Lonchura striata: one gene and its partner. The protein of the gene in region 1 binds, or shares a complex with, the protein of each later gene. Links are inferred from orthologs where the notes say so. Each region holds a gene or a part of one and is shown on either strand. Other genes may lie near its edges.

What was found. The genes of interacting proteins can lie anywhere in the genome.
Region 2: the proteins of TNNI2 (region 1) and TNNC1 are in contact, whole or in part, in an NMR structure (PDB 2MKP), measured with the Homo sapiens proteins. The link is inferred for Lonchura striata from reciprocal best matches to the Homo sapiens genes TNNI2 and TNNC1. Residues at the interface, in NP_001139301.1 of Homo sapiens: Arg116, Met117, Ser118, Ala119, Asp120, Ala121, Met122, Leu123, Ala125, Leu126, Leu127, Lys130, His131, Lys132; in NP_003271.1 of Homo sapiens: Asn18, Glu19, Phe20, Ala22, Ala23, Ile26, Val44, Met45, Met47, Leu48, Gln50, Pro52, Glu56, Phe77, Met80, Met81, Cys84, Met85, Lys86, Asp87.

What each region holds. Positions count from the first base shown.
Region 1 is NC_134608.1:46,533,554-46,540,609, forward strand, and holds TNNI2 (troponin I, fast skeletal muscle), read left to right. Parts: upstream 1-4,579; 5' UTR 4,580-4,696; intron 4,697-4,985; 5' UTR 4,986-4,991; coding exon 4,992-5,114; intron 5,115-5,500; coding exon 5,501-5,590; intron 5,591-5,722; coding exon 5,723-5,899; intron 5,900-6,206; coding exon 6,207-6,305; 3' UTR 6,306-6,453; downstream 6,454-7,056. UniProt on the Homo sapiens protein: Troponin I is the inhibitory subunit of troponin, the thin filament regulatory complex which confers calcium-sensitivity to striated muscle actomyosin ATPase activity.
Region 2 is NC_134614.1:9,515,387-9,522,655, forward strand, and holds the start of TNNC1 (troponin C, slow skeletal and cardiac muscles), read left to right. Parts: upstream 1-4,250; 5' UTR 4,251-4,352; coding exon 4,353-4,376; intron 4,377-7,269. UniProt on the Homo sapiens protein: Troponin is the central regulatory protein of striated muscle contraction. Tn consists of three components: Tn-I which is the inhibitor of actomyosin ATPase, Tn-T which contains the binding site for tropomyosin and Tn-C.

The DNA.
Region 1 (7,056 bases):
TTTTTCTAAAAAAATCTCTGAGTTGTGTTGAAATATTTCACACAGGGAAGAGCTACAAGTATTTACTGTGTAAGAGGAATAATTGAGGTTAAAAAAGCATGTTAGTACTGGATAGCTTATTAAGGGATTGCTCTTGCATATGCTGTTGGCAGTGGATATTTGGGGTGCAAGCTCTTTCTTCTCTTCCTTCCTGAAGGGCAGAGTTCCTCCCAAGCCCTTGAAGGCAAATTGAGTCATGCCCTTGTCCATGGATAAGCCACTCTGTATATCCAAGGGGAAATTTTGATTAGAGGCCTTGCAGATGGATGGCTGTGTGCAGAGAGCCTGGGCTCCCCACAGATTTGAAGCCATATCTATTCTGACTGGTTGGTGGCAGGAGAAGGGAGAGGAGGGCTCCCTACTTGGAACTTCTGAGGAAAAACACCTCCCCAGCTCCACTGGATCCCACGGGTAGAAGATGTTCTCCTCCTCCCCACCCCTCCTTCTCTGGGGGCTGCCCTCTCCTGTTCTCCTGCCCTGGCCTGCCCCAGCCAAGGGAGGTGCACAGCAGACTCTTGCACATCATTGGTCTGAGAAGGTCTCCATGCCCTTAAAGAGAAGGTGGATTTTCTGCTGAGCCACCCGAGAAGCCCTTTTATACCTCCTTACTCAGCCAGCTGTCTGCGGCTCATCTGTCCATCCTGTCCAGCCTGCACGACTCTGATTTTCTCCAGGCTTGGGTGAGCATTTTTGCATATCTCCTAATGACCCAGCTTGCTCTTAGGGAGTGATGGGGAAGCAGATTTACTTACCTGAGTATTAAGGAGATAAATACCAGGTGGGGGTGGCCTACTGGGAGAAACAGGAGTGCGAATAACACTTTCTCCATCCTTTGCTTATTGGAGAGGATCTGTGCATTGGAAAGGTTCGCGCTGTCGCTTCCACTGAGCTTTTCTCTTTCTGATTTCATGCTTTCCCCTGCCTTGGCTGGTTCTGCTCTCAGCTTGAGTGGCTAGGGCAAGTGGAGCCTAATGTGCCCTCCACAGGGCCTATGGATTGCGGATCCTTGCCTGCGGTGACTCGGCTATGCCCCCATCTTACACCCCATCCTCCAGCTCCCTACCCTTGCCGAGCCTTCCTGCCCAAAACCACCCTGGGACAGGCACCGACATCCCAATTCACGGTGTCCTCCCGGCAGAACAGGCGATGCCGAGCCCACGTCGCGGGCTCCGAGCCGTAGCCCGGGCTGTCCCCTGGCTCGGAGCCGCAGCCCGGGCTGTCCTCCGAGCCGCAGCCCGGGATGTCCCCGGGCTCGGAGCCGCAGCCCGGGATGTCCCCGGGCTCGGAGCCGCAGCCCGGGATGTCCCCGGGCTCGGAGCCGCAGCCCGGGCTATCCTCCGAGCCGCAGCCCGGGCTGTCCTCCGAGCCGCAGCCCGGGCTGTACTCCGGCTCGGAGCCGCAGCCCGGGCTGTCCCCCGGCTCGTACTCGCGGCCCGGGCTGTCCCCCGGCTCGTACTCGCGGCCCGGGCTGTCCCGGCTCGGCGGGAGCTGTGTGCGGGGCAGGGCTGTCAGCGCACACAGCCCGCGTTCCTGGGCTCGGCCCCGCCACCTGCGCTCCGCACCGCCGCCACCTCCCCGAGTCACGGGGCTGGCACCGGGCAAAGGCTGCCGTCCCAGGAGACAGCTGCAGCTCCTTCTGCAGCTCCCTGGCCATTTTTAGAAGCACTTTCCTCCCCCCGCCTCTCCTCTCTGAAGCAATGTGATGGGCCCGCACATTTTCCAGGATAAAGTTTCCTTGGCCCTGCGAGCTGTGCCTCCTGCCTCGGGCATGAGCCCCCATTAACACTTCCCCTCCTGACAGAGCCTCCCAGCTCTGCAGACGGCTGCATTGGCTGCTCTGCAAAGGGCAGGCTTAGGAGATGCAAGTAGATATTGCTCTGATAGAAAAGTAAAATTCTATTTATGTGGAAATCATTTACAGCAAATCAAAGGTGCTCTTCCATCTCTTCCCTAATACACTGTGTTGTATGTGTAAAATTTCCACTTAAAGCAAATGAAAGGGATTGCCTGGGGAATTTTTTTGTGCTTATATCAACTCAACCACAGCTTCCAGCTGTGCTGAGGCTGCTGCAACAGGCTCCCCTGTCCCACAGAATGAATGCATACACTGGCAGTAGCATCCTCTGGAGTCCTTCCTTGCCACCTGGGGTCATCGCTGACCCTTTGCAGGCTTTGGGATATTTCTTGTTTATGAAGTGAAGTAAGGTTGAATGGCAAAGTGAAGCAGCAAACTGAAAATAGTTTTTGCCTTTTCTTTCTTCATTGAATAAAATGGTTTTATGGGGGTCAGACAAGAAACATACCTGCAGGAATCACTGTCACAAATCTCTCTTTTTCTGTCTCAATCCCATTTAGCCTTTTCCAGAAGTCCTTTGATGTTGTGGTTTGTGTTGCTATGAGGAGATATTTGCCTCTCATCTACAAACTGCAGCCTAGTTCCCTATATGATGAAAAATTTGTGAAGTTGGGAAATAAGAACAAACCTGTTCCTCTTTTCATTTTCTAGAGGAGGTTTGCTTTGTTTGTAAATCCACAAAAAAGTGAGTTTAAAATCCACAAAAAAGTGACCACAAGCATGAATAATTGTAAACTTTTTCTCTTGGTTTTCATTTCAGGCTCAGAACTATCTAAACCAAGATGTCTGAGTAAGTTCCCATTTTTTCTGTCTCTAATACACTGTTGGCATTTAAAAACTTTTGTTCAACCACCAACTTTTATGGTTGTTAAGATTCTTCTGCTTGTTTCTAGTTAGGATGCTAATTAACTGCCTTTTTTTTCCTCTTTCCCCTTTCTCTTCCTTCCTTTCCTTGTCCATCTGCTTTTCCTGAACAGTGAAGAGGTAAGTGTGTTTTGCTGGCGTTTTTCCTTTAGCAATGCTTATGGCAGCAGTCCTGGCTTCACCGCTCCTCCCTAGGAAAATCAGCTGCTCTGTGTATGTGTGTGTGTGAAGAATGGCTCAGGGTTATTTTCTTGCTGACTCCTCCTGGTAAACACATGAAGGAGAAGAAAAATCCCTTTTGAATGACTATTTTTTTTGTCCCCTGGCATGGAGTTTGATGCTTTTCCCCCTCCATTCCTGCTTCCCCAGCCGGCCACGAGATGGTGCTGGGAAGGCAGTGGTCCAGAGCTGCCTCTCCTCCGTCATCCATCCACCATCCCGCCCTTGGCCGAGCATCCTCCCCTCCTTCCCCACATCCAGCCCTTAATTTTCTACCCACTGAGCACTGACAAATCCCTTCCCAAAGGCAACCCAAGGAGACCTGGATCCAGGGGAGTGTGAGCAGGGTGGAGGTTGCATTCTTAGCAAGTTTTCCCTGGCTTCTGGCAAAGCCAGGTGGGGTTGGGGGTGTCTGAAGAAATGCAGGCGAAGGTGTGGGAGGATTGTTTGTGGCTTTGTCACTCCACATTTCCTCTTAGCATATTGCTCCATCCTTCATTTCTGCTTAGCATCTCCCCATATGTCTGCAACACCACAAGCTTCAACTTGTTCTCACTGAGAGAAAAGAGGATGTCAGGGACACATAGAAATGCCACAAAATGGTGCTGATAACCAACATGTTCTTTTACTCCCCATCAAGCCCAGACATCCCAGAAAAGGCTGGGAGGACACTCTTTGCTAAGGTACCAGTTTTCAGATGGAGAATAAGCCTTGGACTAACAGCCCTCAAGGGATCTGATTGTCTGATGGTTAATAGTGTGCTGCATCTCTGAGCTGGGTGCCTTTTCTCTGCAAAGCCCTCCAGCCCTGTCAGGAGGGCCTTGGCACCATTTACATATGTGAGACACGTCAAGTTTTGTTACATTTCACTCTGCACATCCTTATTCACTTCCTCCTCTCCGCAGCACAAACCCACACCCAAGTGCTGCTTTCTACTCCCCACCTCTCAGCATATCTGATGTGCTTCCCCTGGGCCAGCCCAACTGAGCCATGCCCTGTCTTCTGGGTGAAATGCTCAGGAAACAGCTGAAATGCAGAAGTTGTGGGTTTTTTTGTAAGTAGGAGTCCTATTGCTGCTGGTCCAGCATGACAAGGACAGAAGGGCAGCCTGTGGTTGGGTCTGTCCTCCAGCTGTGATGAACCCTGCTTCAGCATCACTTGTGCTGGGTCTTTCCAGCTCCAAGAAATTACACAGCCTTCATGTTTTCACCTGCCTGGCTGTCCTTGTCACTAGAGTGTCAGAAGGACGCATGCCCTGGACTGCTCAGAATGACATCCCACAGCTCCTGAGTGCCCAGGGTCATGGGGGTCATTAGCTTGAGCACAGTGTAAAACACATCTGAGTGAAGAGGAAATCAGAGAAAAGGCTAAAAGTCCCAAGAAGCCATGTTTGAAGCCATATTTTATACATATATTTTCAAATTCATCACCCTTGTTATCTTTTCCTCGGGGACTTTGTAGATTTTAGATACCTGAGGTTGGCAAAGCTGGGTTCAGCAGGGAGCCTCTTCCTTGAGTGCTGCTGGTCTGGGGACAGACTGTGTGTCAAGATGGAGCAATCTCCCTGGCAGGGCTGCAGGTCCTTGGTGGACTGTGGCATTGCATGGGGAAGGGCAATGGAAAGGGGAATGGGCACCTGGTAACCTTCTTTTCTCTTGTCTTTTCTTCCACTTGCAGAAAAAGAGGAGGGCAGCCACTGCCCGTCGGCAGCACCTGAAGGTACGTGGCACTGCTGTGGCTGTGGGATGTGTGTCCCAACCTTCCCATCTCCCATCCCAAGCCAGGCAGCTCTCAGCACTCTCCCTACTAGAAGAGGCCACGATGCACAGCATAGATCTCCCAGCCCACTGCTCACTGGGTCTCTATCTTATCCCTTGCTTGGAAATGGTATTTATGGGAACTCCCCAGGCTGCCTCTCCATCAGGACTCCCACTCCCCTGAGGAATGACCCCCCTACCCTCCTTCCTTGCTTCCATCCTGCACTGATGCATCTCCTGCTGCCTTTCAGAGTGCTATGCTCCAGCTTGCTGTCACTGAAATAGAAAAAGAAGCAGCTGCTAAAGAAGTGGAGAAGCAAAACTACCTGGCAGAACATTGCCCTCCTCTGTCACTCCCAGGATCCATGCAGGAACTTCAGGTACAGGCTTCTTTAACCCTTTCAGTGCTGGAACAGAAAATATTTGACTCTGTCAGTCAGCCTGGTGGATATAGACTGGCCTTCCCATCTTGACCCTCTCCTCACCTGTGTTACCCTGGAGCCAGATGAACATGGAGCTGGCTTGAGAGGCAGGTGGGGTCTCTCTCCCAAAAAAAGGGGTCTGGCTGGCAAGAAAGATGTGTTTTAAAGGATGTGTTGAGGCAGCATTTGTGTGCAGCCAGTAGCATGGAGATTAGGAGCTGGCTGATAAGCTCCTCTTCACCTTAAGCCTGTCTAGTGTTCTGGACTGAGGGTTTTCAGAGCCAAAGCAGTCAGGAGTCAGTGTGAGTCCTAGCAGTCAATATCCCTCTTTGCTTTCTTCCCAGGAGCTGTGCAAAAAGCTTCATGCCAAGATAGAGTCAGTGGATGAGGAGAGGTATGACACAGAGGTGAAGCTACAGAAGACTACAAAGGAGGTGAGTTCCTCTGGAGCCATCCTTCAGGGGAGTCTGCAGCCCATTCCTCATGCCTCCCTGTGCCACTTGGGTCCATCTCATTAAACCCACGCCCTCCTCTCTCTCCAACCCTCCTCATTTCTTCCCCCCCAGCTGGAAGACTTGAGCCAGAAACTCTTTGACCTGCGTGGCAAGTTCAAGCGGCCGCCGCTGCGCAGGGTGCGCATGTCGGCTGACGCCATGCTGCGGGCCCTGCTGGGCTCCAAGCACAAGGTCTGCATGGACCTCCGAGCCAACCTGAAGCAAGTGAAGAAGGAGGACACTGAGAAGGTATCCTTCCCTCTTCCTGTTGTCCCTAACAGGAGTAGCTCCCACCCTTGAGGGCTCACACCTCCCCGCAAGACAGACAGAGTTGAGAATGACTCTTTCTCCATAATGTTCTTCCTGCTCAGTATTTCCTTCTCTGGCACCCATGATGTTGAAACAGGAGGGTGCAGTTTAGAAAGATGTATTGCATGGGTGGAACTGGGTTCCTCCAGCTGACATGGGGGTTTCCATGGGTGGACTGGTGTGGGGCCCGGGCTGGGTGGGTTCTTACCACGGCGCCATTCACACCAACGCAACCTCCCTCCCCCAGGAGAAGGATCTCCGTGATGTCGGTGACTGGAGGAAGAACATTGAGGAGAAGTCTGGCATGGAGGGCAGGAAGAAGATGTTTGAGGCTGGCGAGTCCTAAGCACCTGCATCTCCACAGCTGTCCTCCTCTCCCCGCTGTCCCCACTGCCCCGCCGGGCTCAGGGGCGCTGACTGGGTGCCATTTCTCTCTAGTTTTGTGAAGAGCTGCATCATGGCAGCAGTGATGTAAATAAAGCTTTGGTGGGAGAGGTGGGTGTTGCCTGCCTGGGTGGCCAGACCCCGACTCATGCCATGGTGCCAGCAAGGATTGCCTCACTGTGGCAGTCCTGGTGGGGATGGGGGGGCTTTGGCAGGGGCTGTGCTGAGGAGGTGGGGGGCCTCTCTGCTGTTGGTCCCTGTCCAGAGCTGCAGATGCTCATGCCCTTCTCCAGTGGTGAAGAGACAAAGAGAGAACAATCCTAGCCCCAGGAGGAGTTGCAGAACCTCAACCTATGATGGCATCAGCAGGAAGCTGTGGGGAAGAGCTGAGATGGGGGGAGAGGGGGTGGCATCTGCAGGGCAGAAGCAGTCCCTTTGGCTCCAGTGGGATCTGAGAGGTGCAAAGACAGGAAAACCTTGGCAGCACCTGCAGCAGCAGCCTGGGACTGGTACAGTGTAGGGTGCTGTGGTTTAGAGATGATGGCTGTCACCAGAGTGGCACGGGGGGCAGTGGTCCACTCCTGTCCCTGCCATGGTGGGGATGTCTGTGCTGCCCACTTTTCTTTTGGGTTAGCCCAGGACTTCCAAATTTTTAGCTACCGACAAGTAAAATCTTAAATCAGTCTCAATGGTTTTTAAAAGGAAACAAAACA
Region 2 (7,269 bases), on another chromosome or scaffold:
ATAGATCCGGTCCAGTGCAATCCAATGGAATCCAATGGAATAGAATCCAATCCAATGGAATCCAATCCAATCCAATCCAGTGCAATCCAATGAATCCAATCCAATGCAATCCACTGCTGTCCCATCCAATACAGGGCAATGCAGTGCAATCCAGTACAATCCAATGAATCCAACCCTGTCCAATCCAGTGCGGGCAATCCAGTCCAGTCCCTCTAGTGTGGAGCTGCCAAGGGCTGAGCCCCCTCCCAGTGTTGGAGCTGTGACCCTGTCCCAGCTGCTGGCAGCCTGTGGTGCACATCTGTAGCCACCAAGGGCTCCTGGAGGCTTGGACACTGCCACACCAGGCTGAGGTGCCACCTCAGTGGTTGTGTGACTGAGCTGCCTGGTGCCACCCCAAAAACAGTGCTGAGGAGCTGGGCTGATGGGCCAGACCTCAGGAATAAGCCCAGAGTGAACTCGGGGTGCTGTTTGGGGTGATTTACTGACAGCATGGACTTCACTTTCACTGTCCTGCTCAGCATGGGGAAGTGTTTCAAGCCTGAACACGCTAAAAGATCTTGCCAAGAATTTGTAACAGAAGTGGAGAATCTAAAAGATGGCAAGCAAACTCTCCTCAGCCTTTTCCCTTGAGCTGAACCTGAGCTGCCCTGAGGGGAAGTCATACTATGGCAACCTTTCTGACAGGCTCAGAATGCCTGTTCTGTTCCTGCCTCACCAGGAACAGAAAATTGCAGGAGAGAGGATATAATGAGTTTCTTTTGGAGTATCTGAGTGTATTAAAATTGAGAGGTTATCTAGAAAGATTATGTTTTGGCAGAAGGATGCATCAAGCATCCATCAAGGCTTTGAAATATACTCTGTGCTACATTACACACAGAAGGATTATGTTTTGGACTGTCAAATCAAGGAGATTTTGTTAAAAAGTACTTTCCAGCAGAATGAAAGCAGCATCTGCCTGCCCTTCCTTATGCTACCTAAGAGAAGATGCAATTAGCTCAGCATGGTGTCATGAAGTGCAAATGCCCTGGCTGGATGTGAGGAGCTGCAGGGGCAATGCTGGTGTCTCACAGATGCCATCAGAACTGCAGTGGCAGATGAGCAAACACACCACTGCAAAAAGAACTGGAAAAACTCATTTTGGGGTGTTTCTCACTGAAAAATGTTTTTCCTTGGTCAGGATGAAGCTGAAGGATGATGTGCAAAAGGACAAAAGACAGAGAGTACAGGCAGCCCAACAGGGATTTTCTAATGCTATCCCAGCATCAGGAACTGCTGCTGAGCTCAGCCTCTTCATGAGATAGTAAGTGGGTTTGGAGAGCAACTTTAATTAAGCTTCCTCTGAATGTCCCATCTCCTTAATTAAATAAAAATTTGCAGCCCGGCTGTCGGGTTTGATCAGTGCCCGTCTCCTCCTGAAGCAGTTCCTGCCTGCAGGCACAGCAGCGGCTCATGGTGTGACAGCCCTGTCCTGGCTCACAGAGGAGAGGAGCAATGTGCCTATGGAAGGGGGAAAATGGGTTCTCCTTCAGCTAAAATATTCCAAGTAGTGTTTAGGAAAGAGTACATTAAATAATTCTGCTGTTGCTGGGTCTGGACTCTCAGGGCCATGTGCCCAAGGCAGGGAAGGGGGATATGGAGCATTTTGCTGCAGTTTGGAGCCATGACACAGCCAAAGGAGCCCTGTAAACATCCCTAATCTCAAATAAAATTGCAATTTAGTTGAGCTTCTGTCCTTTATTTCTTTACATTTGATGTCAAGAATGCCTCTGCTAGTTTTGCAGTGGGTTACAGCAGCTTGGAAATGAGAACCTGAAATGAAGTTTTGGAGGAAAAAAGCCAAGTAAAGCTTCCCAGTTGTCTTGGTAGCTTGGAGGGACTGACAAGTGGGACAGCATGTCAGGATGCAGCTGGAGCTAGCAGTCTGTACCTGACCCCAGTGAGAGCTGGTGTGTCACCGGGCCAGCTGTACCCAGATTTAAGGCACTTGTGCTGGCAGCCTCCTCGGGCTGTGGATAGCCACACTCCCTGTCTGCCACGGGGCTCAGGTGAGGAGGCACAGGAAGCAGCAGGAGAGGGTGGTTTTCCCTCAGAACAGCCCATACCTGCAGTAGCTCCTTCCTGTGCTTTGCATGGCAGAGGCTTTGGGTTTCCCTACAAAACCCCAATTCCCAATCCTTTTGTAAGCAAACAACTTCGGAGAGCCAGGGGATGCTGGAAGCTTTGTCTCCAGGCAGCCGGCGGGGAGGCAGGGGTTGGCACAACGCCACTCGCCTGCGCCTCCTTCCCCGGGAGGAACATCACCTCCCTCCGCTGCCAGATGGGATTTCATCCTTTCCTCTGGGCTCAGCTCTGGTTTGTAAGTCTCTGCCTCCATCAGATGTTCACAGAAGTGCAGCTTTCCCATGCCAGTAGGGTGGCAGCAGCCCAAATTTCCCCTCTCTGAGCACACAGAGACCCTTCCTCCAACATCCCAGCCTGAATTTCACCCCAGCTCTCCCCAGCAGACCTTTTAAAGGCAATGTTGGAGCTGTCTCTCCTGCGCTACATTGACCCTAAATATATTCTGACACATCCCAGGGGCTGTTTTCAGGGTGACTCAGAGCCATCACTTCCCAGGATGGAGGGACAGGGCCAGCCGTGATTCCTCAGCCCCTGTCCTGGAGCCTGCTAGTGCCCAGAGCTGGCACCTGCCACCTGCAGTGAATCCCAAGGCCAGAGAAGCAGTCAGGGGCTGGGGCTTGCCTCGGGGCAGCGGTTCATTGGGAAGGTCTCTCTGGGGTTGCCCACGAGGTTTTGGGGGGTGGTTTGGTTCTGGGGAACAGCAGGTCTCCCATCCCAGCCTGTGCTCTCGCCTAAGAACAGGCTCCTTTAACAAAACTACTTCCCTCTGCTGCTGTTTCTGACTTCCGTGTGTTAAAGGCAACCAAAATATTAAATACATTCAAATTAGTAAGACTAACTGCTTCAAAAAATGTAACAATTTTCCCTTTTATTCCATCTGCTACGCCTATGCTGAGCAGAGGCAGGGCTGGGCTGAAGCCTGGGAAAATCAAGGCCAGCAGGTGCCCACAAGACCACAGTTCCTATCAGGCTCTGTAGTGATTTAATCTTTCAGGACTCAAAACCTGGGAGAATACGATGTGGGGATGGCTTTGTGCTCACCTGCATCCCCACTTTGTGCTGACACCACCTGGTTAATGTTGCTTTGGCTTGGGCATTCCACAGGGACTGCAGGTTTTTCCATGCAGCATGATTCTTCTTAAAGGTGGATTTGTAGTAAAGATGAAAACTAGCAGTTGCATTAATTTTATTTTTAATTTTGCAAACTAATTTTGACATGAGCCAGCTGGAGGTGAGACCTTGCCACCCTGTGGTGCCAGAGCCATCTGTAGCCCCTCTGGACACAAGAGGGAGTCCTGAATCATTGAAAAGACAGGTTTGTTTGCTGTGGATTAAAACACTTTTTGCTGCACTGAGAAAACTGCTCATCACTTGGAGGCCTTTGGTGTTTTTTGCTCTCCACTGTGGCAGGGTAAATCTATGGTAAACCCACAGTAAATCCAGGAGTGTGCATTTTGGCTGTTTGCAGTGGGGACAGATCAGCGAGCTGGCTGGGTGAAGTGAGTCATGACTTCCCAAAGGACTGGCAATTATCCCTGGAATCAAACAGGGTTGATACCCCCATTTTGATAGCTGATCCCCACATTTTGCTGCCCTAGCTGAAAACAGAAAACTGTGGCAAAGCTCCATGTGTCTCCACGCTACTGTCCGTGGCACTGGGACTGCACATTCCCCCCAAGCCCTCCCGAGGCCATTGGCCCCAGCTGCAGGTCCCCCGTGGATTTGGGGACACGCAGCAGAGGGGACGAGGGGCCCTGAGACCCCCTGTTCCCACTGCCCTGGGGGACATTTGCTCCTGGACAGGGATATTTTGGGACACGTGCCTTTCCTCTAATACCCGATCCTATCTGGCACGGTATAATCTTTCTAACGCAGCTCCCAGGGGGAACACGCTGGAGGTGGAGGTGACACGATGGCACGGCTCCAGCCAGGACAGCCAAGAGCCGCGATACATCAGCAATTCCGGCAGGTCTTGCTCAAAAGCGGTGGCTTGATCCCACAACAGAGTCACGAGGAAAGCTCCAGCTGCTCCGGAGCGGGGCCGGCGCTGGCGCTGCCGCTGGCCCGGACGTGCCAGCGCCGGGCTCGGTGGTGTCCCCGTCCCCAGGCACGCAGGCCAGGCATTCCTGGGGGGCCGGGCATGCGGGGCTGGCCCCAGCCCCCTATATCAGCCCTGCCCGCGGGGCAGCGCCGGCAGAGTGACCGCGACAGCCCCCGGCCCTCGCCCAGCCATGGATGACATTTATAAGGCAGCGGTGAGTGTCTCCCCGCGGGGCTGTGGGCTGGGGAGAGGGGGGGTCTGAAATGGATCTAAGGATTTTTGTTGTAGGTTCCAATAATTCAGTGAGAAATGAAAATGAGAAATAATTATAAGGCAGCAACTCTTAGTCAACGTCCTCATCCAGGACACAGACCTCTCCCTATCATGGCTCTGGAAGTTTCACACTCCTCTTAAAAGTGTGAAACTCTTAACAATGACCCCCTGGTTCCCCACTGAAAAGCAGGGAGATGGCTCCTAGGTGAAGATATAAATCTCAATAAAACCTGCAAGGCATAAGAGATGACTCTTGGTTTTAGCCCAGACAAAGCAGAGGAGGATTTCCCAGAAAAGAAACATTATTTTTATGGGTTAAAACTCACCTTCTTTCTGGTGCTTTACAATTCTGCCATTGCTTTGTTCCCCCCTTCTTAGCTGAATATTTTTCAGAGAGATTTTAAAAAACCCTCGTTTTTTTCTCAGTTATTTCCAAACCTCCTCCTCTGCTTTGCTGCTCCTGCTCTGTGCTGTGCAGAATCCAGAATGTGAGCTATGCCCTGGGGAACGTGGAGCATCCTTGGGCTATTTTAACTTCCACAGCTGCACACTGTGCTCACTGTGTAAACCCAAACTATTTGGTCTGTAATAAGAACACTGCATTATTCTGTAACGTAGGCAGACAGAGATGTGCAAGTGGATTAAGGATGAAAATAGAGTCTGGATTGTGTGGATTGCTATTGCATCCATAACTGGATTTACAGTAAGAGCTTTTTCGTGCTTTTCCCTCCTTAAATATACAGCTGATCAAGTTTGATTTTAAGCAAGAGCACAAAAAATGCATCATACCAGTCTTATTATTATGGCAAGGTTTTTAGAAGGAAGGAATATCATCCTTGGTAGGTAACTGAAAAAAAACCCCAATGCTCACACATCCCCTGTCCTTTGGTCAGCCTTGAACCTTGGAAATGGAACCCCTGTAGTGACCCTGATAGTGTGAAAAGGTTCAGGAAAGGTTGAGTCCCCCAACCAACACCTTCAAAACGGAGAAAAATGGAACCTGTAAAATCAAAGGAAATCCAGGCCTTTCTAATTAAGATTTTTAATTAAATAAGTTCTCTGTGACTGAAGGTACAGGCTCTTTCCTCATTGCATAGGGATCACATAGCCATTAATTAGGTAAATGTAGGGTTTGAGTCCTGGGCATTAACTCCCAGCACCTTTACAGAGGCAAAACAAGTCCAAGCCAGGCACAGCTGAGACAAACAGCTCTTTTGTGGAGCTGTTTTCTATTTCCCTCAATTTAGACTGTAAAGAAAACATTTACCTGTGGAAGAAAAAAATTAAGAACTTCAGTTTCCCCTGACTTCCAACAGAACCATGGGATGGAGAGAAGAGCTTTTAAAAGCAAAATACAGCAGATTTGGCACTACCACAGCTGCTGCAGTGCTGTGAGCTTAGAGCCTGCCTTCCCACACTGCAGTCAGAAAAACCTGTTCCTGGAATGATGTGGAGGGAAAAGAGGAATAAGGTAGCAAACAGCACCCACATCCAGAATGAACTACGAATATCTCAAGAGACATTTTTGTGACAAAAATATCACTCTATAGCAACAATGCATTTAATTTATATACACATCTATCACTTCAGTACTCAAGGAGGCTTTAAAATGGAATAGCTGTGTATTTTATGCATGTTGATAGCGTATATTAATATTACATTTATGCCAAATCCCCTACGTGCAGTCAGAGGACCCAATGGATTTTCATCTTACCCACTCATGCCTAGATAAGGGTGTGCAAACACAAAACTATTTTGGGAATATTTTTAGGCTCTGTTAAGTGGTGCCTAGAACAGTGCCAGGGACAAGTGTCCAGATAAAGGGCTGCAAGGATAAATACCAAAGCCTGGGAACAATCAGGGAGCTCATCTTTATCTCCAACACCTCTCACCCAGGCTTATAAATAGCGACTGCGCCAGGAGTGTCATGTTACAGAGCAGGACGTGGCTGTGGCCATCGTGGTGGTGGCTGCCCTTGCTCTGCCCAAAAAATGTCTACAGAGGGCCAGCAGCTGCCTGCTTGCCTTCAGCAGCACCAGAAACACACTGGGCTTGGGTTTCCTCCAGCAGTGGAGAAAAATCCTGCCACCGTCCTTAGTGCTTCTGCCAAGTCCTCACCTCCTGGAGCATGGGGAGTGGGATAAAATGCTCTGCCTGCTCCCACAGGCTCTGACCTGCTAAGGAAAAGTATTTTCTCTGCTTCTTGCTGCAAGCAGGAAGAAGCAGCTGGCTTGTGCAAAACCATTGCCCTTCGGGGCAAAAGAATCAGTTTTCACTCAAAGACACAACCCGGGGTTTTGGGGTCCTGCCCAAACACAGCATGGCAGGGATGGGTGTTGGGGGCCACTGGCATTGGGGTGGCAGCAAGGAGAATTTAGTGGGGTCAGATAGGGCAGGCATGGGTCCCTACCAGGCTGGATCTAGAGAGGCTGTTGACCAGCACAGGAAGGAGAAGTTGATGTTTTCATGGATGCTTCCAAAGGGGCAGTTGGACATGGTGGTGAGGGCAGCAAGTTCAGCTAAGCAGTACCTGGAATGAAGCCAAAGAGAGAAAGGCACTTAAACAGGTATGACACAGAGCTGATTGATTTCCCTTTGCTCTCCTCATTGATTATTTTCATTAATTCATGCTAATAAACTCCCACTACCATCAGTCTGTGGGGATTGAATTAGGGCAGAGTTTGGGAACAGTCTGCCATCCCATGTCAGCAAATGCCTGTTGGCTCCACAGGCCATTTCTTCAGAGATTCCCAAAACAGACTAAAGGGAATAGCAGCTCCCTTCAGAGCCAGACACCTTTGTAATAACACTGGCTGAGATGGAAGCAGAGCAGT